Linked DNA regions of Alligator mississippiensis. The protein of the gene in region 2 interacts with the protein of the main gene of each other region in a pairwise test. Links are inferred from orthologs where the notes say so. Each region holds a gene or a part of one and is shown on either strand. Other genes may lie near its edges. The genes, in order: KIF9 and zinc finger and BTB domain-containing protein 8A-like.

The links.
Region 1: the proteins of zinc finger and BTB domain-containing protein 8A-like (region 2) and KIF9 interact in binary tests that used the Homo sapiens proteins (3 or more experiments, as listed by UniProt). The two-hybrid records come from large-scale screens. The link is inferred for Alligator mississippiensis from reciprocal best matches to the Homo sapiens genes ZBTB8A and KIF9.

What each region holds. Positions count from the first base shown.
Region 1 is NC_081828.1:216,967,311-216,979,774, reverse strand, and holds the start of KIF9 (kinesin-like protein KIF9), read left to right. Parts: upstream 1-6,618; 5' UTR 6,619-6,723; intron 6,724-11,230; 5' UTR 11,231-11,327; intron 11,328-12,464. Other genes in the region: KLHL18 (kelch-like protein 18), read right to left, coding at 6,283-6,423. UniProt on the Homo sapiens protein: Essential for normal male fertility and for progressive motility of spermatozoa.
Region 2 is NC_081829.1:5,428,537-5,440,473, forward strand, and holds the start of zinc finger and BTB domain-containing protein 8A-like, read right to left. Parts: upstream 5,075-11,937; 5' UTR 4,840-5,074; intron 4,304-4,839; exon of another isoform or gene 4,064-4,303; intron 3,589-4,063; 5' UTR 3,561-3,588; coding exon 2,624-3,560; intron 2,111-2,623; coding exon 1,941-2,110; intron 1-1,940. UniProt on the Homo sapiens protein: May be involved in transcriptional regulation.

The DNA.
Region 1 (12,464 bases), on a different chromosome or scaffold from region 2:
CAGAGATAAATCAAGTCTTGCTAGGTTTTATCCTAGGAAACAGCTCTGCATCTAACAAGGATTTAATCTTATCTGACCCAGCAGCTGATAACCACAGTATTGAAGAGTTTTGTCTGGGCTGCTGGGGTTACTAACCGTAACCGGCTTTTGCTCAGGTATGGGTTATTAAATGCACCTATATTGTTACCCCTGAACCAGTCAAGACTCTGAAGAGCACGGATAATTTAAAGGGTGTTCTTTGTCACGTGTCTCTAGACTGTAGTTCTCTGTGGGCAGGGCGCATGGCAATGGGTTTAGCAAAGCAGTTTTAGAACAAAGCTCAGGAAAAACCTCCTGGCTGCAAGAACAGCAGGACAATGAAACCAGCCGCGGGGCAAGGCTTAGGAACAGCAAATCCCACATCTGGGCAGGGGGTTGCACTTGATGACCCTAGAGATACCTTCTAGGCCATATAAGTCTATGATTAGATGCACAAAAAACTCTTCCTGTTACATTTCCAACTCAGCCAGGAACAGGGGCCCAGCCCAGAGGCATCAAACATACAGCCCACAGGCCTGCTGCAAAATTCACAGCCCCCTGAGCCTCACTGGACTTGGCTATTGGTGGCAGGATGGCAAGTAAGGGTTGGACTCTGCATATGAACCAGACGCTCACCACTGCACCAGACCCTGGCTTTCATCACCAGACCCACAACAGCTGCTGGCCCCCCGCAGATCTGGATCCAGCCGAGGGCCTGGGATGAGCTTGACACCCCTGATCCAGCTTAGCTGCAAAAGAGAAGGAGTTTAAACTGAGTGCTAATTCTTAAATACTAGACACACGAAGGCATAGGGTGCCAAGTGTATTTTTGCAATAGTCCAAAGCAAACCATCTGTTAGCTGGCAGTTGTAGCCTATTCTAGGATTTGGTCAGAAAAGCCTCTGGATACAAACTCAAAAAAATAGCTTCCTCTCCACATCCTTTGCAACTGCTTTATATATGGTGTCCCTCTGGCAGCAAGTCAACCGTGGTCAACATCGCCAGCGTTGGAGGAGAGAAACACAGGCCTGGCGTGCTGGAGAACTCATCCCAGGGTAACAAAAGTGGGCCTTAAGTTGTTGTACTGCTGCAAGTTTCCAAACATAGACAAGGCCACGCGAACTGCAGAGCGACCTAGACCGAGGACAGCGATGGGAGATGCTGGCAACTGGAAGAGATCTGGCTGTAGTAAACATAAAGCCCTATAGCCAAGAAAGGGAAATTAAACAGCACAGTCATGGACTGAGGAATGCATCCAAGCAGCCTCCGTTCATTTTCATTTATCTCCTTAAAGGCATCCTAATTTTTTTTCTTCATTTCAGCAAGTAATTCAGTTGTCCAAGGAAGTGGGGCTGGGAGAGGCAGTAAGTCTGCATTGGTTTTAAAAAGCAGTGCATAGTTTTTAACCAGTCAACGGCGTGATATAAGGAATGGCTTTTTTGAATCTGTATTCTCGGTAACCCCTAATTGTCGGTGCATAAACACAAGAGCCTCAGTTCTCAGTGGGTACACCCTAGCACTGCATGCTCATGCCAGACACCCAGCTCAGCTTCCGGCTTGGAAATTTTATTATCAGAGAGAGGTGATCGTGAGGAGCAGTGACGGACTTCCCTAAGCCTGGCTTAGAGTAATCGGAGATTTGACAGATCCAATCAAATCAGCACTTCTTTCTCTAATCACATCTAAAACAAGCTGCCATCTGCTGCTGAAACAGCACTCTGGTCCGGGGAGCGACTGGAACCGCAGATATGGTAAATCTCCAAAAGAAGAACAAACTGGAAGAAAATGCTGCAAACCTGACACAAAGCTGCCACTCTTATAAGGTGGTTTTCTTCTTTTTATGACTATTACTTAAACATTTCTATTTTCAGCTATGTAATTTTCCATTAAAGAACGAGGGGGTGGCAGATGCCCAGTTCACTTAATGCATTTATGTGGCCTGGATGGCAGATTCCGTTTCTTTCATTAAAATCCCGTTCCAGATGTCACGACAGCGAAGTTGCTCTTTCAAACACGAGCAAAGAATAAACGGATGCAGCGTGGCACAGCACTGCTTTCCTAACCCTGCTAATGGCCAAAAAGGACATCTGACAGCTGTAAAATCCTCGCCGCCTCTGCTCATCTCACGGAGATGTTCTCTGTTAATTTTTAGAGTTGCCTTAAGGGCTCCTCCAACTACGTAATCACTGGTGCTTTTAGAAGATGGGATGGAGAAAGCAGGCAGGAGTTAATTGAGGGAAGAGGAAAGAGAGAGAAGGAACAGCAGTCCCATACTTTTACTGATGACACAAGGATTTTTAACATTTAACATTTCCTACTGAGTGTTTTAAAATTCAAACCCTGGCCCACTGATGACAATAAAGATTAAATTCAACCTTAGCACAGGAGTTAAGATGCTCCTAAATGAATACTCATGCTTTAGGCTAACTACTCGGCATGTTAACCAAAGAGGTCCTCTTCCCTTTACATTCATTCAGCTTCTCTTTCTCCTTCATTTGATCATTTCCAGTGCTTCAAAGGGGGAAAAAACCAGAGACAAGAGTTGATGCTACTGAACAACGTTGGTCCTGCCTACACACGGGATCATTTACAGCTTTCAACCCCTAGCACCATTAAAACTCTGCTCATTATTAGAGAGGGGGCTATTATTGAACTGAACCCTGCTATAGCTCAGTAACCGTGCTCATTCCCATTTCTGGTGAAACACAGAGCAGCGCTTTAATCCTGGCAAGGCCAAGGGAGAGAAGCCAGGTCACCGAACACAAGGGTTTTCAGAGTACACATCGTCCCTTCGGACAGCCCGTATCGGAGAATCAACATGGCAACAAGCCTTTTCATCGTGAAACATGCACTAAGCCCCGCTGCCAACAGGGACCCCTCTGTTTGAAAAATGAGATTTAAACCATCCTATATTGTTCCTCCCGGGGTTTCGCTCGAGCTTTAGTCAAATACAACCTCTCCCAGGCAACCCACTTTGTAAGCCCTTTTTGGGGTTAAGGCATTTTAACATTTAAAACTTCATCAACACACACTGAGGGTGGCCCTCGACAAGGTCAAGGAAAAAGTCCATTTCTTAAATCAGCTGCTTAGTGAAGTGGCTGCTACACTGGCTGAAAAGACACTTCCAAAGTTAATCTGATAAAATTGACTTCCACAACACCTTGCAATGCATACTAAAGAGCCTGGAGAAGGCATCCTGTACTGAAGGAAAGAGGGGAAAAAAAGGCTTGGCTGGAGACCGTCAACAATGTCAGCTCAGCTGGCAAGGACTGTGCGAGCCAACGCTGAAAGAGGCAGCTGTCAGCAGGTGGAAGTGGCAGAGAAGGAGGACACTTCATGATCGTGATTAATTTATTCTCAGAGAAAAGAGTGCTACCGAGGGGAGCTGGGCTGATAAACAGTCTCCGGCCTCCCTGCTGAGCCCGGCACCACCATGAGACAAGCCCAACTCGCTTGCTCCAGCTGTGCGTGCAGACCTAGCAATTAGGCAGCACAGTCAGCCTGGGGGGTCCTGAATGCACACCCCAGCACCCGTCCCAGGCTCCCTCATGTCAGAGAGCGGGGAAGAGACAAGAACAGGGCTCATTTCCCAGCAGTGGTCTAAGACTCACCAGGGAGGCAATACAGACACGGGGGCCTTAGCCTCCTTAATCTACAGAACAGCTACTTCACAGGCCAAAGTACTTCAAACTCAGCCCCTCCTGCAGAAACATGCCTCAAAATTGATTTTTGAAAGGGCCATTCAGTCCTCTGCCAGCCAAAAGCCAAATGAGCTGGTAGATTTTTGTGATTTCTCTTCCTACAACACCATGCTTGCTGGAAACAACATGGATATCCCCCCTCAAAAATAACTGAGATGCTAAAAATGCTGCTGTTGTACAGAAGAACAAAGATCTCCCCGCCTGTCCTCCCGAGACGCAGATCTTGAAAACAGGGAGAGAGGCACCTCCCAGAAGAACCAACAACCAAAGCATTCACCCCTGACGTGGCAAACCTACACCCAAAGCTCGGGGCTACTTGAACCTGGGGCTGACATCCAGGCGACTGCCCTACCCGCTGGACTAGACCGACCACTCTGGCCTGTTTTGGCCTGACCAGAATTTCCATCCTACAAAATGCATCTCCAATCTAATGGAAAACGTTTCCAGGGAAAGTCTCCATTTCGACAAAGAAGTATTTTTCGGCGAAAACATGAATCATCCAATAGTTTCCAAACGTCTCTTTTTGGGGCAGTTTATTTGGAGGAACCGGGTCGTAGAAGTCACAGAGAAGTACGGCTGGGAGGAAACCGCTAGGGGTCATCTAGTCCAGCGTTTCTCAACCCAAAAGTGGATTGCAAGAATATATGAAAGGGTCGGGAACAAGCTTGGAAAAAAATGGATCAAACTTTAAAAAGATTATCCTTTAAAGGGAAAAGCCACGGTTTCCCATGTTTTTCTCCTTACAAGCTGGCAGAGCTGCAGGCTTGGGGCCCCCCATGCCCCACACACTGGAGGGCTGGGGCCTTGGGACAGCAGGGTGGGAGCGAGGGGCACTGGGTCGGCAGTGGCCAGCGAGGTTTACAAACGGCCCCTGGTAGAGAAAAGGTTGAGAACCGCTGATTTCTGAGGCAGGAAATACCTTGTGCCCCATACGGGGATCGAACTTGCAGCCTTGGCATTATTAGCGCCCCAGTCTGAGCTAATTGCCCGCCTGTTATGAAGTGCCGTGTCTGCGTGCCCACGGTCACCACCCAGACAAAACACACACTCTCTCAGGAAGATCCTGAGGGCAACTGAAATGAATCCTATTTGGTGCAGCTTGAATATCCCCATATACTCTTCATTTAAGGCTTGAATATTCCCATATAGTCTCCATTTACATACAAATCGCCCACAATACTTGGAGTGAAGAACACAAGGGCTATTTACACAACCCTTGTCTTACGCAGTGGGAAGTGGATGGATGAACTCCATTTGTGTCGCCCGAGGAACGTATCAGTGCTGAATTCGAGATGTGATTCGTACGACCGAGTGACCAGTCTGCACACCTTAAGCGTGAGAGCAGCACCATAGGTGTCCACCAAACGCCTGTGCCCATTAACTCCAGGTCTGTAATTACCAACTACAGAGACTCCCGCACCTCCTGCCGAGGCACCAGCTGCTCCCACAGGCATCATAATGGGATCACTTGCATGACACAGCACGGCAAGCCCTATCCAGGCTTTACAAACACTGGCTTATAGTCTCTTTAAGGCAGGGACTATAATGCTCTTAAAAGATAATGGGTTCCTACTCCTGTCTCTCCACATTAAGGTGAACGTCCAGAAGACGCGGTGCAAATCTCTGCCCTACCAACGGCAGGCCTACAGCAAGGAGGAGGCAGCAGCATGACTGCCCAGATCATCCAGGCCTCGGATGCTTCGCCGACAACATCGGCGCGTCAACGGCAGCTGCTGATTGTGTGACGTAAAAACGTCTGGGAGATGCGAACTCCTCGCGCAGCCTGCGAGGAACGCGACGAACGCTTCCAGCCCAGCAGCGACATCCTCCCTGTCCGAAGCCTGCCATAGCTCGGGCGTCGAACCGTCCACGCTGCGCTAGCCTGTCATCCGGTTCCTACGCCGCGGCCAGTATTTCTGCACCGTAACCACCAGCACGACACGCGCATGTACGCACACACACAACAGCTACCGAAACGCGCGCCTTTGCCACCGGCAAGTGCTGGGTCAAGCGGCTCCGGCTGGAGGGAGGGAGGACCACGCGGCCGAGGGCTGAAGACGTCCCTGGAGTCCGCGAGGCTCGTGCCTGGCGCCCGGGGGCTGGCAACGGGGCAAATGCTCAACCAGAGAAGGGCCGGGCCGGGTCATGTCACCCCCACCCTCGCTCTGCCTTGGCTGGGAGGGGCTCCAGGCAGCCGATGCCCTCGCCCTGGGCAGCTGGGGCTTGCGGCTGCAGCACCGCATGGGCCAGCCGCGCTCCCCACACCGCACCGCACCCTCCCCCACGTCCCAATGGCCCCCAGCCCCACTGCCCCTCCATCCCGCACCCCCCACCCAGCACACACCCCAGCACCCCTCCCCCGCCCGCCCCACTGCCCCTCCATCCTGCACCCCCACACCCAGCACACACCCCAGCACCCCTCTGCCCCTCCATCCCGCACCCCCCACCCAGCACACACCCCAGCACCCCTCCCCCGCCCGCCCCACTGCCCCTCCATCCCCCACCCAGCACACACCCCAGCACCCCTCCCCTACCTCATGGCCCCCACCCCTCCCCCCCGCACCTTGAGGGTGACGTCACAGAGCTTGCCCTGCCGCCGGATCTCGCCCATGACGCCGTAGCCGCGGCTGGGCAGGTCCCCGACCGAGAAGTGCACCAGGTCCTCGGCGTCCAGCTCGGCCTCGGCCGCCGCCGCCTCCAGCATCGTCCCGCGCCCGCCGGCCGGCAGCCGCCTCGTCTAGCCTCGCCCAGCCGCGCCGCGCTTCGCCTCGCCGCGCACTGTCCCCGCCCGGCCGCCGTAGCCGAGCGCCGCGACCCCGCCCCCTTGCGCTAGCGCCAGCGCCAGCGCCGGCCGGAAGGGGCCGGACCTCACTTCCGCGTTCCGACGAGTACTTCCGGTCCTGGGCGGAAGTAGCGGGAGCCATGGGAACGCTGTACACACCCCGCCCCTCCCCCCCGACCTGTCCCTGGCGGTCGCGGCGCGGAGGGAGCGACGGAGGAGCGGGTAACGCGCCCCCTGCCCCCCGTGTCACGTCATCACGACGTCACCCCCATTCCTCCCAGTTCACCCCATGCCAGGCGTCATCGTGACGTCATCCCCCATGCCCCCATTTCATCCCGTGCCACGCGTCATCACGACGTCATCCCTACACCCCATTTCACCCCATGCCGCACGTCACCATGACATCATTCCTGCGCCCCCTTTCACCCCATGCTACACATCATGACATCATCCCCACACACCCCCTTTCACCCCATGCCACATGTCATCATGATGTGATCCCTGCACCCTCTTTCACCCCATGCCAGACATCATGACATCCTCCCTGCACCCCCTTTCACCCTATGGCACACGTCAGCATGACGTTATCCCCGCACCCTGTTTTTACCCCCCATCGTGATGCCATAGATTCATAGATTCATAGATGTTAGGGTCGGAAGGGACCTCAATAGGTCATTGAGTCCAACCCCCTGCATAAGCAGGAAAGAGTGCTGGGTCTAGATGACCCCAGCTAGATACTCATCTAACCTCCTCTTGAAGACCCCCAGGGTAGGGGAGAGCACCACCTCCCTTGGGAGCCCGTTCCAGACCTTGGCCACTCGAACTGTGAAGAAGTTCTTCCTAATGTCCAATCTAAATCTGCTCTCTGCTAGCTTGTGGCCATTGTTTCTTGTAACCCCCGGGGGCGCCTTGGTGAATAAATCCTCACCAATTCCCTTCTGTGCCCCCGTGATGAACTTATAGGCAGCCACAAGGTCGCCTCTCAACCTTCTCTTGCGGAGGCTGAAAAGGTCCAGTTTCTCTAGTCTCTCCTCGTAGGGCTTGGCCTGCAAGCCCTTAACCATACGAGTGTTCCTTCTCTGGACCCTCTCCAGGTTATCCGCATCCCTCTTGAAGTGCGGCGCCCAGAATTGCACGCAGTACTCCAACTGCGGTCTGACCAGCGCCCGATAGAGGGGAAGTATCACCTCCCTGGACCTATTCGTCATGCATCTGCTGATGCACGATAAAGTGCCATTGGCTTTTCTGATGGCTTCGTCACACTGCCGGCTCATGTTCATCTTGGAGTCCACTAGGACTCTGAGACCCCTTTCCACCTCTGTGCCACCCAGCAGGTCATTTCCTAGGCTGTAGGTGTGCTGGACATTTTTCCTCCCTAGGTGCAGCACTTTGCATTTCTCCTTGTTGAACTGCATCCTGTTGTTTTCTGCCCACTTGTCCAGCCTATCCAGGTCTGCCTGCAGCTGTTCCCTGCCCTCCGGTGTGTCCACTTCTCCCCATAGCTTTGTGTCATCTGCAAACTTGGACAGAGTACATTTGTCATGTGACCTCATCCCCCTGCAAGGGGTCTCAAGGCTCCACAGGCCTCTGCTCCGGGGTGAGCCCCCGCCTGTGGCCTGGCCCTGCAGCCCCCTCGCCCCTGCTTTGCTGGGCCCCGGCGTGGTGGCGTCTCCCTGGTCGGGGCAGGAGCACTTCTGGGTTCCCGCGTATCTGGCCGTCTGCGCTCTCCCTGCTCGGCTTCGTCCGGACAGCGCCGACTCCCCCGGCCTTCTGCTCGGCTTCGGACGAACGCGGCGACCGTCACCCAGCCCAGCCACGGCATCTCCAACCTACTCCCGGAAACCTCTGAGGACGGGCACCAGGACCACCCTCGGAGTCAGGACGTTCCTGCTCATCTCCAGCTTCAGTTTCCCCTGCTGCAGCTTGAAGCCATTGCTCCTCATCCTGTCCCCTGCGGTCACAGAGAACAGCCTGTCTCCATCTTCTCTGTCTCTGTCTTCTCCGTTTCCATCAGACAGTTGAAGACTGTGATCAAATCCCGCCTCGGTCTAAATCCCACCCCTGGGTCCTCCAGCCTTTCCTCCTCAGTCTTGCCTCCCCGGCCCCCGCATCACTTTTATCACTGCTCATTGCTGCTCTCTCCATCCGTACTTCTCAGCCTCGCTCCCCTTCATCCCTACGTCCCAGGTATCCCGTGTTGTCTGCATCACTTCCACCCACAGGGCTGCGCTGCCACTCGTTTCTTTTTTCACATCCAACGCTGTCCCCATCTCATGTTGCTCACGGTGAAGATGGCAGCACTGTCCCTTTGGGAAACCTGCGCTTGCTCTGAACGTTGGAGTGGTTGGGACAGAAAAGCGATGCAAAAATGCCCGGATTCCTTCAAACTGCGGGATCAAAGCCATGGTTTTGATATCCTAATTTGGCAGACTGTAGTCTGAGAGGAGATATATTGAGTTTGAAAGCCAATAGGACATCTTTGACAAGTTTGCAGATAGCATTTGGGTGTGGTTGCAGATACTCTGAAGGGCAGGATCCAGAATGACTCAGTGGTCCACAATCAGTGAAATGAGGTTCAACAAAGTGTGTGCAAATATAGACAGGGGAATGACTGGCTCGGCTGCAGTGCTGCAGAGAAGGACATGGGAGTTACAGTGGACCATAAGCTGAGTATGAGCCAGCAGTGCTTTCTTATTGCTGAAAAAACCAACAGCATCCTGTGTTATATTAACAGGAGTGTCACCTGCAAGTCAAGGGAAGTGATTCCTCCACTCACTCACCTGGATGGCACGCTGTGTCCAGTTTTGGGCCCCACACTTCAAGGAGGATGTGGACAGGTTGGAAAGAGTCCAATGCAGGGTGACAACAATGATCAGGGGCCTGGACTTAGGAGGAAAGGATGTAAGAGCTCGGGTTATTTAGTCTGGAGAAGAGAAGACCAAGAAGGGATTTGATCGCAGTCTTCAAATACCTGAAGGGCGATTATAGAGAGGATGGAGATGGGCTTTCCTCTGTGACCGTAGGAGCAAAGGCCTCAAGCTGTAGCAGAGGAAATGTAGGTTTGAGATTGGAAAAAACTTTTTGATTATGAGGGATCAGGCACTGGAATAGGCTGCCTAGAAAAATTGTGGGATCTCCATCCTTGGAAATGTTCAGGAGGTTGCACAGCCCCTTGGCTGGGCTGGTTGAGTCAGAGACAATCCTTCCTTGAGCAGGGGCTGGGCTAGGAGACCTCATAAGGTCCCTCCCAGCCCGACTTCTTTATGATCCTGTCTGGGTGTCCAATCCCATTCTTCTCAGCCTGCTTGTCTCATGTTCGGCTTCCAGCAGAGTTGACCCAGCTCGCTGTCCCAAGGTAGATAAACTGAGCCATTTGCTGTGGGAAGGTCTCAAGCCACTCTGCTGCCTGCTCTACCTGGCCCTGAACTGTGCCGGTGTGTCAGGTTGGGTCAGATCAGTCCCGAGGCCGCTGCAACCATTGGGGCACCTTAGATGCTGTAACAACCCTCCTCCACTCTGCCCTGTGTTTGGCCAGCTTGGTGCCAACCTGTGCCCTGTCCAAATTGAGCTGTCGAGCCGAGATCCTCAACCAAGAACCCCCTTTCTCCCTGCTCTGCTGTGTGACATGTTGAGTTCCCCTCCGCGCAAGAGTCAGCTGTGTTTCGGTGCTGTGGCTGTATAGCTCCAATTACCAAAATCCTTAGTCTTTACTCAGAACTTACAGGAAAACTCACGTTGCTCTCCAGGCCCCAGCAAGGGCTGAGTAAGGATTTCAGGATTAGGCCTGTAGTTTGTAAATAGATTTGAGAGCAAAGATTTGCTGCAAGTGCAAACATTTGCCAGTATTCCACTGGTAGCATGATGATTATTACCTGTGATTTCTCTAGCCCCACCAGAGAAGCATGGCATTCACTCCGGTGAGAGCTACGGCTTCCTTGTCCCCTTTTATTGTTGGCTGTGTATTGTGAAGCTGGTTGTTTAGTGCTTGCTTCTTGTAGGGTGCTGGTGAGATGCTGTTGGTGAAGGGTGAAGGGAGACCTTGCTAATAATCTCATCTAGGCATTTCTTCCTGTTGCCTTAGTTGTTGGAGTAGCTAGGGGCGTTTCAGCTCACGTGCCTATTATACATGTAATTTTATGTTTAACGCTTCAATAAAAATAAGTAAACGCCTGTGTGGGGTTTAAGTTGTAGCCGTGTTGGTCTAAGGACATAGGCAGACAAGGTTCTTTGGGTAAATCTGATATCTTTTATTAGACCAACTCAAATAGCTGGAAAAATCCTCATGTGTAAATGTCTGTGATTCCCCCACAGATACCATCTGAAAAATCCACGGTTGGCTGGAGGTTTGGAGGCTGTGGGCTATGGGGCCTTTCGTTTCTAGGCTGCTCAGTAAAAACCTCTCTGAAGGAATCACTGTTCCTAACCCTGGGAGACTATTGGGTGTCTTGTATGGAACGACCTTGATGGATCTCAGTTCTGTGGTGCCCACGTCATAAAAACAGCGATGCAAATTGGCATCCCAGTCAGCAGTGACAGCAGAAAGGCCAAGGGCTGAGTGGGCCATAGAGGCTGAATGCCCCTTTCTTACAGCCGTGACTTTTCTCTCATGTGACAATGGTGAAGAACCACGAAAGGACTCTCTTTCTTCTAACAATGAATAATGAACTTTATTACAATAATGAAAATAGCACTTGCTCCAAAGCTTTTCTCTCTCTCTCTTTCTTTTTAGAGCTTGCACTTGGAACTGTCCCGTCACCCTACTTCTGCCGGGATTCTTGCTGCAGCTGAAGAAACAGAGCACATGTGTTTATAACCTTCAGGTTCAGGTAGAAGCCCATTGACAAGATACTGTGAAAAGTTACAGATCTGCTCTCTGAACTGTCCCTTTTCTTCGGATAAAGAAAGCGCTTCATGCTCCGGGGCTGTCACTCTTTCACTAGCATTCAATCTGTGTTTAAATACTAATATACAAACAGTAGTCATGAGCGTGTTTCATCTTCTGCAGGTGGCCTCACAAGCCACTCTCTGTGTTAGCTGGTGAGTATCATTAGTCTGGTGGCATGGTGAGAATCTTCCAGTCTAAGAAGTATATTGAAAAAGAAATTTCCTCGTATGAAATGGATATACCTCTTTGCCCTCAGGGGTGTTTGTTAAGCTGTTCAGACATAAGTACTTTAAGACCCTCAGGTGAAAGGTACTTTTTCATTTTTATGGTAAGTCATCATGAGATAGTAGACTATCTACATACTCTGTATCTGTGCACTTAGTATTCATTTAAAGGCAAATAACAGGGATAGTGAAGCAGCTAAAGTAGTGAAAGGAACGGAGAGGCTTGCTCTGCTTGGGGCACGGGTGATATCTTCCCCTGTTGTAACCCTGCCTCAGGTTATTTGTCCTCAGGTGAGCAGTAAGCAAATGACTGTCCTGAAAAGTTGATACTGGAATGTCCAAACATAACAGAAGTAATTCATCCCTGTGCTGTTGGGGTTTTGCACAGTCTGTGCCCCTGTGCAGAGCCTCTAGTGCAGGGGTGAGCCAACATTTGGGCCAGAGGGCCACTGGGGGGGTTTTGGTGAGCTGCCACGGGCCAGGCCAGCACTCCCTGTCCCTTGGCCCTGCAACAGCTCACCAAAATTTCGTACGTGGCTCTGCCTCAGGACCCAGCCCCATGCTGTCACCACCCAGTGATCCCAGGGGCTCCTTGGAGATCACCCAAAGTCCTGAGCTAGACCAGGAGTTTGCCCAGGAACTGGCTGAGGCAGCTTGCTCCAGGACCATGGTTGTCATGGGTGACTTCAATTACCCGGACATCTCGTGGGAGGATCGCTCAGCAAAATCTGAGCGGTCGCAGAGCTTCCTTTCGTGCGTGGATGACCTCTACCTGACTCAAGAAGTCTATGGGCCAACGAGAGGCAAAGCGCTGCTCGACCTGGTGCTGGCTACTGGGGAGGACCTAGTCGGTG
Region 2 (11,937 bases):
CTTATATTCAGCTTATGGTCCTTTGTAACCCCCAGGACTTTGTCTACAATACAGCAGCCTAGCCCATCTTTCCACAGTCTGTATCTGTTTATGTAATTATTCCATTCCAAGTGCAGGACTGAAGAAACCATTTCTTCAGTTTATCCAGGTCATTCTGAATCCTGCCCTTACCTTCCAGAGTACCTGCAAATCCATACAACTTGATGTTATCTGCAAATTTGCTAAAGTGCACTCAGTGACACTGTCCAGATCATTAGTGAAGATGTTGAACAATTCCCAAGACAAGCCCCTGGGAAACCCACCTTGATACTTCTTTCCAAATAGACATTGAGTCATTGATGACTACTTGTTGAACACAGTGATCCAACCAGTTGTGGATCCACCTTAAAGTGCAATTTTCTGTTGCAAAGAACTAAAAAAAAAAAACCCTATTGCAGTTATCTCATGAATCACATGGGTGTTTGCATACCTAATAACACTAATATAATTTGGCGCCCTTAAAAGGTTCTCACTGAACCCTGGTTGAGAATCACTGCTCTCATTTACACCATAGTGATAATCTGGGGGAGTGGAAGTGGGGGCAACTGGTCATTCTTCCTAGTCTTCAGTGCTACTATTACGATTTGCCAATGGCCTATGTATTTATGTGCACATAAGCAGATAGCTATGGAAAAGTTTTAAGAGTCTAAGTTTTTGTACACTGTTGAAGCCTTTTCAATATACTGTTGTTACAATTGCTAAATGAAAAATAAGGCCCCAAGAAAGGCCTACAAAGCTACCATAACAAGTAAACAAATATATGGCGTTAATTCTGATTATGACACAACATTTAAACTATAGGTCAGAACTAATGTAAAATTTTCCAGAGATTATAGATTCCACTATGCTGTATCACTCTGAAAAATCTTACTTGTCTAGTCTATTTTTTTAATAGCTATTTCTCTCACTTTGCTTCTCCATCTGTATTTTGCTCACAAGTCACCACATGCAGCTGCGGCTCCTTCACTCTGCCACATGGCATAACTGCAGCTGCTTTATATCCTCCAGCCACCCTCTCCTACTTCTCTGTTGGCATACCTCTTCTCCATTCTCCAGTGCTCCTGCTCATCTCCCCACTCCCATCTATTTTACCTCCTTCCTGAAATTGTTCTTTAAAACAAGTATTAAAAATTAGACAAAATTAAAACTTAAACTTGCTTGCAAGTCCACCTACTGACACATGGAAAAAATATTAATTTTTTCTTTTACTTTATGCACTGGCAGTATTTTGTGTACAGTCAGATTGTTTAGTCAGTTTGTTTCCTTATTTGCATGGATCTTTCACACAGTGGCAGGAAAGAGGAAAAAGTGATTTTTAAGACACAGCAAACTGGTAGACACCAGAGAAGTTCCAGAAATTATTTTTAACTCATTTGAGGGACATTCACTCATCTACAAAGGGGCCAACAAGTTCTTTATACCAGATCTGAAATACTATATTGGACTTTCTGCATCCTTTAAACAAGGGTGGAACTCACTCCTTTTCAAAAGTATTACATTTCAAGTTGCCTTATCTTTAAACCACTTAGAATACTATTCCATGTAAACTTTAAGAAAACTGGTATATTCACAGAATCATAGAAAATGAGGGTTGGAAGGGACCCCAGGAGGTCACATCTAGTCCAATCCCCTGCTCAGAACAGGACCAGCCCCAACTAGATCATCCCAGCCAAGACTTTGTCTACATTGGTCTTAAAAACCTCCCAGGATGGAGAGCCCACCACCTCTCTGGGTAACCTGTTCCAGTGCTTCACCACCTTCCTAGTAAGAAATTTCTCCCTATTCATACAAAGCAGACTAAACTTAAAATACCAGGCACCCATACCAAATTAAATTATTTTAACACATACAGATATATACACATTAAATTAAATCACGCACTCATTGTCTAAAATACATACTGTTCGAAAATGGCTACTTAGGTGATCTAGTCTGCTAAATCTTTTTCCACATGCCTCACATGGATAAGGTCGTTCTCCAGTATGGCAACGAAGATGCCGCTTTAGGTCTGCTTTTCGCTTCACCACGTGGGTGCAGAATGGACATTTGAATCTCATCCTGGGCAGGTCATCTGTTGTAAAAAAAAAAAAAAAGTATTTTATATATCTGAAAGAGTCATATATACAATATTGTGACCAATTCTAGAAAGAAACACATTTCTACTGTAACAGTTATGCAAATTAAGAAAAACAAAAAAGCCAGCAGAGCTACAAGTCATTTTTCTTTAGAAGAAATAGTATCGCCTATCTTTTCACTTTCACAGAATGTCAGAGTCCTTGCACATTAAATTAAAAGGAGCTCAGTAAAAGAAAAAGCAACTGATCATCACCTATGCTGAAACTGCTAAGATTCAAAATTGAAAATATTGACTGAACTGCCAAGATGAAGCTTACTGTATTTTGAATAGATAGAAATCTATCTATCTATCTATCTATCTATCTATCTATCCATCCCTAAAAAAAAAAAATAATAAAAAATATAAAGTTAGGCATATTTTCCAGTCATTAGTTCAGAGTATTATATCAATTCTCCATTGAAACTTTGGTAGAAATAGAAGAGAGAGATACAAATAGCTAATTCGTACCATCAGCCCAGCCTCCCATTACACCTAAAATTGAGGGTATGTTGGCATATTGCTCGTCTGCTTTTGAAGACTTTGACTTGCTAGAAGAACGGGGCGATTCATGCTCTTGCTGCGACACAGCTAAACTCCTTGGCAGCACATCAGATCCTTGACCATACTGGTACCCAACATGGGGAGATTCAACTTCTGCTTCAATTTGAACTTGCTCTTCAGATGGAGACATGTGGCTTGTAGGCTCTGAAGCTCGGTCTTCGAGCTTACTCGATTTATAGTGGGGAATGTCAGAAGACTGTTGCAGTCCTAGGTGTCTGGGCTTTTTAATGGAATCCTGCCTTTGGTCATGTTTGGCCAGTTGCTGCTGTGTACTTCGAGAAGATGGATAGTAGGTGAAACTGCTCCATGTATTTCCACCCATCATACAAGACCCTTGCTCTGGACTTAGGTGAGAATGAGGGGGGCTGCTTTCCGCCCTCCAGCCAGCACCATACAAGCAGGAGCGCTCCACACCATTTGAATTTACATCTTTGTCTGACAGGCTGAAATAGCGATCCTTCTCTTTCTCACTGATGTCCAATGATGACTTAATGAATGTCTTACAAACACTAATAACATCAGTCATCTGAAGATAGCTGGCAGCTGACATGACTTCAATGACATTTTGACCAGTGAGAGACAGTTTGCCTGAATAAACAAAATCTAGAATAACGGTAAAAGTGTCAGGAGAAAATGCCTGGAAGGTAGCAGTTGTTGGCTGACTAGTCTCCTTTGAGCTCTGGGAAAGGAGCATCTTGAAATAGCCGCTACTGGCAAACAGCACATTTCGATGTGCTTTGAAAACCTTCCCCTCAACCAGGATATTGCAGTCGCAGAACAGGTCTTGCCTGCGTTGCTCATTGAGTTGCTCCAGGAGATGAAACTGGTGGGAAGAAATCTCCATCCCAAAGCGATAAATGGGAAGTGCGGCTCTAAAAACAGAGAACAACAACAATCTTGACTTGGACACTGTTGTAGACGGAAACAAAAGCTGCTAAACCCAGGTTCAAAAACTAAGGTCCTTTAAAAAAAAAATATACATGGGACACAGCATATACCATCTGTTTTGAAAGGAAGAGACAACTTGCAACAGTGTAGCGGTAGAAGAGGAAGAAACATGTCAGTAAATACTACATCTTAGCCCAACTTAAGGTACTGCAGAAAGCTCTCCCGTGTCTATACTAACCACACAGTTATCCAATAAAAGATGTCGCCCCCCAGCACGTGTGTGCTGCACCATCAGGGCCCCCTCCCTGCTACCACAACACCGCCCAGTCCCTGTCTAAAAGCCCAAAGGACTCGGTGCCGACTCTACACCGCCCTTGAAACTCAGCACGGAGGAGGAACCAGGCCCGCAGCAGTTATGGACACCATGGAGCAAGAGCCTGTGTTGCGAGCTAACGTTACCTGGCTGCCTTGGTCCAGCCATGGGCGCACACATCTTCAGAGGGACCGAGGAGCGACCAGGGAAGGAGACAGCGGCAGGAGCCCGAGCGGCAGCGGGGCCGCCCCCTCCCCGCGCCATTGGCGGAGGCCGCCGTCACTCACCCGCACGCCCAGTCCGGAGCGGCCCTGCAGCCCCGGGAGCCAGGGACGCCCGACGGCGCTAGACACGCCCGCCGACAGCGCCGAGCAGCCGCTCGCTCCCAGCCGCAGCCCCCGCGCCGCCCGCCCGCCCTCCCGCCATCGCCTCCGCCCCCGCCCGCCATCGCCATCGCCGGGCACGGAGCCCGACACGGGCTGCAGGGCGGCCCCCGGGCGCCTCGGGACACGAGCCCGGCAGCGCCCGCCCGCCCCAGGCTGCAGCGCGGGGCCCCATTGTGCGGCTCCCCAGTGCCCCGCGCAGCCCAGCCCGGCCCGGCCCGCCTCCCTCCTTCCCTCGCTCGCTCGCTCGCTCCCTCCCGCCGCCCGGACCCGCTCCGCTCAGCCCTTTGTTGCCTCCTCCCGGCTCCTTGCAGCCGCGCCCGGGGCTGCAAATGGCGCCCGCTCCGCTCCCGTCCGCTCCGCTCCGCTCCGCGCCGCTCGGGCTGGGCTGATGCTCGTCTCCGCGCAGCGCCGGCTCGGGGCGTCGGCGGGCAGCGCCCAGCCCCGCCGCCAGCCCCTGGCGCCCCGGGGCCGCCCCAGCGCCGCGCCAGCCCCGCGCCCAGTCCGGCCTGGCGGCGGGCTGCGGAGCCGCCACTCACCGCTCGGCTTCGGCGGGCTGCGCCGCTCGCTCGCTGGCTCGCCGGTCGCCGCTCGGCCGGGGGGGGCAGCGGGACGCGCGTGCGGATCCCAGGCCCCGCTCGGGCTCGCCGTCGCCTTCACGGCCCGTCCCGCAGCCCCAAGCCGCGGAAGCCCGAGCGGGAGAGAAACAAAAGGTATTTGCTGACGTGGGCGTTGGACAGAGACGCCCGAGGGCTGGGGACACAATTAAAGGGGCAACGCACCGATTGCAGGCGCAGCCCAGCAGCTTCCTCCGCCGGAGCTCGCCCGCAGCCCGGCTGCTTTCCTCTTCCCACGCCCACATGCTCCCCACGAGGGAACGCGACGCCCTAGATGCCTATTTCCACACCTTTTTGTGTAACGGGGGCCTTAATGACCCAGATCCTTCTTTCATCCGTCCATAGGTTCCTCAGATGGGATTTACTACTCCTGTCTTTCTTCGTATTCTTTTTTCTCCCTAAATAAGCCATAGTGCCTCAGAGTCTTCTTTCTAACCCCCTCATCTTCTCCCGTTTAAGTTCTGTTGTCTCATGTTCTACTTCTGTTCCCATCATGGCCCTTAATAGGGCTTTGATGCGCCATTTTTTTTCTCAGCAGTTTGTTCTCCGAGGAACCATCATCCTGCCTGTATCTTGCAAGGACGAGGGATATTCAGTTTCTTATTTTTCATCCCAACCTGTAACCTAACAATGGTTATGCCATCCCACTTCCATACCTTACACACAGATGAGAAAATAATAGTTTTTCTCTATTATTTTGAAGTTCCGTGGACATGAAATGAAAGCTCCAGCTTTGAGTAAAAGAACTAGAATTTGGTTCATGTTTTATGGGAAAGCAGGATCATAGTGCACAAATGTACAATTACTGAATACTGAGTCCACAGAATGTGGTGTTTCTTTGTTTAACAAAGCACAACTTGCAATTCTTTGCATGATTATCTGTGCATACTTTTTTACTTTTTCCAGAGGGGATCAAATAAGTAGTCACTTCCTCAGAAAGCCTTGGAGGAAAGCACAGCCCTCCTCCTGTTTCTGCTAAAGGTAGCTCAAAGTCCTTTGGATAGCCTAAAGCAGTATGTCTTAGTACTGACTTTAGTTACAGGCAGTCAAGTTACAACATTTCACACTTACAACATTTATAAATTGACACTGTTTCAACTTTCTGACCTCAGTTTCGACTTTACAAGGCTTGATCTGACACCACGCCACGCCAGCAAACAAATTTGCTCTGCCACCCATCTCCCTGGAGAACATCTGTCCAAACTTCCTTGGACACCGCCTTTAAGAAAGCAGACAAGACTCCAGAAAAACCTGCAGCCAAGACTCCTGAGCAGACTCCAGCCAAAAACCCTTCAAAAAGTCCAACCAAGAGCCCTTCAACAAGTCCAGCAAAGTCACCTCAAAGAAGTCCTTCCAAATCAATATGATTGCTATTTATACTAGAAATACATTAATGTAGCTATATTACTCATCTATAATTGATTGAGTACAACATTCTGAGTTATTTTTGGTGAAATAGGGAATCAGGCCTTGGTTCAGGAACCAATCCCCAATTTGTAACATTGTTTCCTATGGGAAAATTGGTTCCAAGTTACAATGTTTCAACTAAAGGCAACGTTTTCAGGAACCAATTGTGTTGTAAGTCCGAGGACTGCCTGTACTTTTACAGGGTGCATCTACACATGCACTTTACTGTGGAGTCGACTAATTAGCTCTGCAGTAAAGTGTCACAGTCTACACATGCTCCGGTATTAGGGCACAGTAAATGAATTAACTCTGCCATAGTCTGGTATTGTTGGGGGAAGTCCTATCCTTCAGTGGAGTAATTACATGCACTGAAGTGTACATGTAGACAGTGACAAGGGCTGGCTGGGGCATGAGGGTGCTAAAGTGCAGGGGGCTGCCTGCCACCTAGCTCCACTCTTTAGCACCCTTGTGCCCCAGCTATCCCCAACACTGCCACCTCCTGGAGCCCAGAGCTGACTACCCCCTCCCCCCCGGGCCTCTTGCCAGCCAAGGGTTGCTCTGCCACAGCTCAAAGTGCTGCAGACCCTGGAACACATACAGATGCTGTGCCCAGGAGCAGTTTTCTCCAGCATGCTGTGCCAGAATTTATCATGTTACATTCTTTGCACACGTAGATGCACCTACAGTGTCAGTACCACATCATTCAGGATAAAAACCCTCTGAGTTTCTGTCTTCGGGTTTGACCACTTGAGCACCAAACTGTACAGGAACAGGAGAACTTAGTGTCATCACACTTGCCAGGGTTCAGAGTTGTAGCACAAGTAGCATCCCTCCATAGGTAAAAACAGCTTCTTAACTATTGAAGATTTGGAATACATTTCTCCATTCCTTTCTCCATTGGCTCCTGTTAAATTGGCTTAAAGGGCTGTTCTTCATAATCCCCACACTTTCATACTGAGTAAGGATATTAGACCTCAGGTTTATTATAAACATGCAGAGAAACCATAGAGGATGACACTCAGATTGCTATTTCCTGCCTTGGCTACCTACCATTAGCCTGTACTCCATGCTTGTGGCTCTACTGCGCTCGAGGAAACCCTTAATATTGAGAACTGCCTATGTCCTCTATACCCTCCAGAGGAAGGTTGACTGTTTACTTGAGTTTACCAGATCTCAGGCAGGATAGCAACCCCCCATTCCTACTGTTCAACAACAGGTTCACACTGTAAGGAAGCACAGTCTTCATAAACTTGACTTCCTCCTGCTGCATTATTGTCATTGTCACCCAAAGAAATTGTAGTAGCATCTTTGTAAACAAATGCTTCTGAAATGATGACAGAACAGTTCAGGAGTTTTTTAAAGTTGTTTTCTGAGAACACTAGAATCTCTGCTGAAAGTTGTGGGGGGGGGGAATTATAAGCTTCTACAGATATTATATATTTCTCTGCCAGAGAGAAAAGAAATGCCAGTTAACTAAATTGTTTTAGAATTCTCTCTTGTAAGAAAGAGAGACTGTAAGAAACAACACCCACTGTATCTGTTGCTTTGAGGAGATACTAATCCAGTTCTCAGCATTTTAATTCTTTTATGTGCACCCTGTACCTGCTTTTCCACTTGTAGTCTACTAAATAAAGCTCCATTTCTCACTGCAAAGAAGGAGAGTAAATAACTACAGTCAGATTCCAAATGAGGATCTTGACAATTAAAAGTTCTTCTTTCCAAATAGGACTCCTCCTGTGACATAAGGTTTTGGCATTCCTGGACAAAGTACTACAAAAATGAGAGGCCGTTCATTTCAAGAATCTCATTTTAGCATGTTCTGTGGCAGTAGCTGCTATAAAAATGAGAGATTCATTTTTGTTTCTGAGTTAAATAGCGCTCCCCCTTTACAGGGGAAATATTCAGTATTATTTTGAATGTCATGTGGAATATGAGAGGATTGTCATCTATGACACATTACATATTCTTAACATCTCATGACATTTTAACTTGTTGGGTTTGCAGCCTCCTCAGATGAAAAGAATGGTATAGTCGATCTCAATCAAGGCAACCCTCATAATCTTCTATTGAGCATGCCAGGCCATCTGAAACACAAAGGCTGTAGCTATCTGCAACAGCCAGAACCACCACTGTGCAGCCATTGCCATCCAGCAGATATCAGGTTAGATGGTTCTGTTAAGAGCTGTTCCAGGTCAACCACCATGGATTTTTTGTTGTTGTTTGTTTCTTATTCCTTTCAGACTATCATATTTTTGGAAGATTGAAACAATGTCATCTGGACTCACTGTTCTATTCAGTTCCAATCTGCTTCTTCCCTAAACATTTGCTTTCCCCATCCCTTTTCAGGGACCCATCACACAAAGATCCTACCACAAGAAGTTATCATTCTGTTGTTTCCCACAGCCATATAATTCAGGAGAAAGAGCTTTCATCATTCTCTACCTCAGTCTTCAAAGAGAAAGAAGATGAAGAACTGCTTTGGATTTAGATTAAAGTACATTCAGTTGACACCACAAGTTTAGGAATGCCATCCCTATCCTGAGTAATCCATTCCCCAGATTTACAAAATTGGTTCACACCTCTTGAACTTCAAGATGCACATCCACATCATGGATTTCAGTCCAAGAAGTTCATAGGAGATTTTGTAGTGGCAATACAAAACATGTTTGATAAAGAGTTCTTCCATTAAACTCATGAACAGTCCCAAAGGTGTTTGTGAAACATGTAGCAGTTGTTGTGGTGTCCTTCACAACAGGACACTGGAGTTTACCTTTCCTCAGTGATAGGATGATTCTGGGTATGGCTTCTCAACAAGTTTCTTTGTTATATTTGCCAACAGTTTGCCAATGTGGGGCTCAGAATAAACAAAAAGACACCTCTGTTGAGTCCATCACGAGAAATCTTACAGGAACTCTTCTGAATTCCATCATAGCATATCTACCTTGACACAGATTTGTGATCATGACATACGCTATAACTCATTGCAGGACAACCCTCACACAGCAAGAACATGGCTGAGAGTTATGAGTATGGTTTCATGCACATTCATTACTCATGCAAGATTTGATCTGTGCAAGGCTGGCTGAAGCTTATTTACACTCCAACTCCATCCCAGTGAGGATTTTTAGATGTGTGCTTTCTTCACGGATGGAAAAATCCTTGCAAGAATGTCTTATTTGCACTTCTTCGCATTATTAACTTTGGTGGTCAAAACTGAGGAGCACCCTGAGATAATAGTTAAACTCAGGGTTTGTAATCAGATGAAGAATCTCATCTGTGCACATATTTTGGAATTCAGAGCTGTTCATCTAGTATGCCTAGCATTCTTACATTTAATCCAAGACAAGTCAATACAGGTGATGACAGAACGCTACTGCTGTGTGTTATATAAGCAGACAAGGAGGAGCCAAATCATCTCCTCTAAGTCAGGAAGCAATACAGCTGTGGGAGTGGTGCATCAAATGTGAAGTATCTGTCACTGCGCTATATAGCAGAACTAACGAACAACCTTGCAGATTGGCTACACAGACATTATTGGCTGAGCAGACTGCAAGCACAAATGGTCTATAAAGAATGACTTTTTTCAGCAAGTTTTCAGAAGCAGCATCAGCCAGGTCCAGAAGAGAACAAAAATTAAACATCTTTTGTTCAAAAGGAGCCATTCATAGGTGTCTATCAAATATCTTTCCTAACTCAATGGTTTTAAGGTTTGATGTACTTTTACCCATTGATCCCCACAACACCACATATTTTAACCAGACGTAAGGGGACGCTGCAATGATATTATTTCCACTAATTATTTAAGAATCGCTTGGCCCAGGCAATTTTGGTTCCCAGACAGGTGAAGATTGTCAATATATGCTATAGTAATGCCTTTCATTTCAATTTTAATTTCTTAAGATAAAAGACAGTTCATCCAGATCCAACATTTCTCTTCCCTTCAGCTTTAATGCTTAGTGCTTAACTGATGTGAGAGAAGTTTTGCTTCAGGGATGTCTAGAATATTTTGATTAATAGTAGGAAAGACTCTGAAAGGTCTACTTATGATGTTAAATGGAAAAAATTTACCATTTGGGCTCAACAGCATCATGTTTCACCTTTTCCAATGGATGTTCCACACATTTTAAGTTGCCTGCTCTTGCTAAAATCAACTAGACTTCCTGTTAGCTTCATAGCTCTCTTAGCTACAGCTTGCCTGTCACCCATACATTCAAAATCATGGAGTATTTTCACACTTTATATTATCTAGGAGTATTCAAAAGGTTTAGTGAATTTATTCTTTACAGTTAGAGAGCTCATTTTCTCATAGGATCTTAATACAGTATTAGTGAATTCAACAAGTTCTCTATTTGGGAAAAAATACTGATAATTACTTCAGCTCCTAGCATGGGAAAAATTCAAGCTTTAATGGTAGGTCCTTCTTATACCATTTTTCTTAAAGATAAGGACTTTCCAAGTTCTTGCCTAAAGTAATTTAATATTTTAATACTAATCAGACCATTAATTTACTTGCCCATCATCTCCAAACCTTATTATAGGGATTCTGAAAGAAAATTACAATTTTTTAAATAAAAATAGTATCCTCTGGAGACCAAACTATTTGAAGTTTTTTTAAATATATTAGTTAGTCTATAGTAGAAGAGTGAAAGGAAAGGTAATTTCTTCCCAGATAGATTTTAGTGTATGAGACCACGCTGTTGAATAGCTAAATTGTATTCCCCTGTTCAGATTAAGTCTTAATCTAGTAGATAGGTGGCTTTCTTTAGCTGAAATTCCTAGAGCTACCTCTTGGAGTTCATTCCATCCATTCATGCTTGGATGGTTACATTTGCTTAAGCAAAGTGGTTCTTCATGCATTGTTTGGGTATGATTCCACTTGGCTGTTTTCTAGCATGAAGTTACTGGGAGTCACCAAGAGCAGGATATGTAGATAACCATTCAAAAAAGAAAAAGCTTTTACTTACACTAATCACATTTTTTTAGAAGAGTTTTCAAGATATATTCTGCAACCAACCCTTCCCTGGTTTAACAGGGTCCATAGTTGTAAGGGTTTTTGCAGGCAAAGAAACTGAATAACAACTTGTCCTACTTCTCTTTTTCATGTCTTTGGGAAGGGAGAAGGGAACTCAGATTCAAGAATGGGTACACAGTGGGCACGTCTACACGTTCATTAATGCGACATTGTTATTGCGCATTAAGTTTAGTACTTCTAATACTGTGAGTAGCACCAGTGCACAGTCTTTTTTGTGCTGCTTAATGTACAGTAGACTAATTCTACTGCACATTAGCACGGCTTTTGCCATGACACATGAATGCACAATAGAATTCGTCTACTGGGCCTTAAGCGTCTTGTAGGCATGCCCAGTCTCGTGAGATCCCTGACTAGAACATACAGACAAAACAACTGAACAGTTACTCTAAAGTACAAAAGTATTACTTGCCAACCCAAGCCTGCCACTTTTTGTGTGGATGGCAGACAAAGAAAAAATCACTTTGTGTGCACTTAATACTTAACATAAGTTTCACAAACATCCCAAATATTTTATGTTTCTGAAATATGAGTTACAGGCTAATCACACACCCTGGGTTAAATTCTGTGTCAGAGTCATTAGC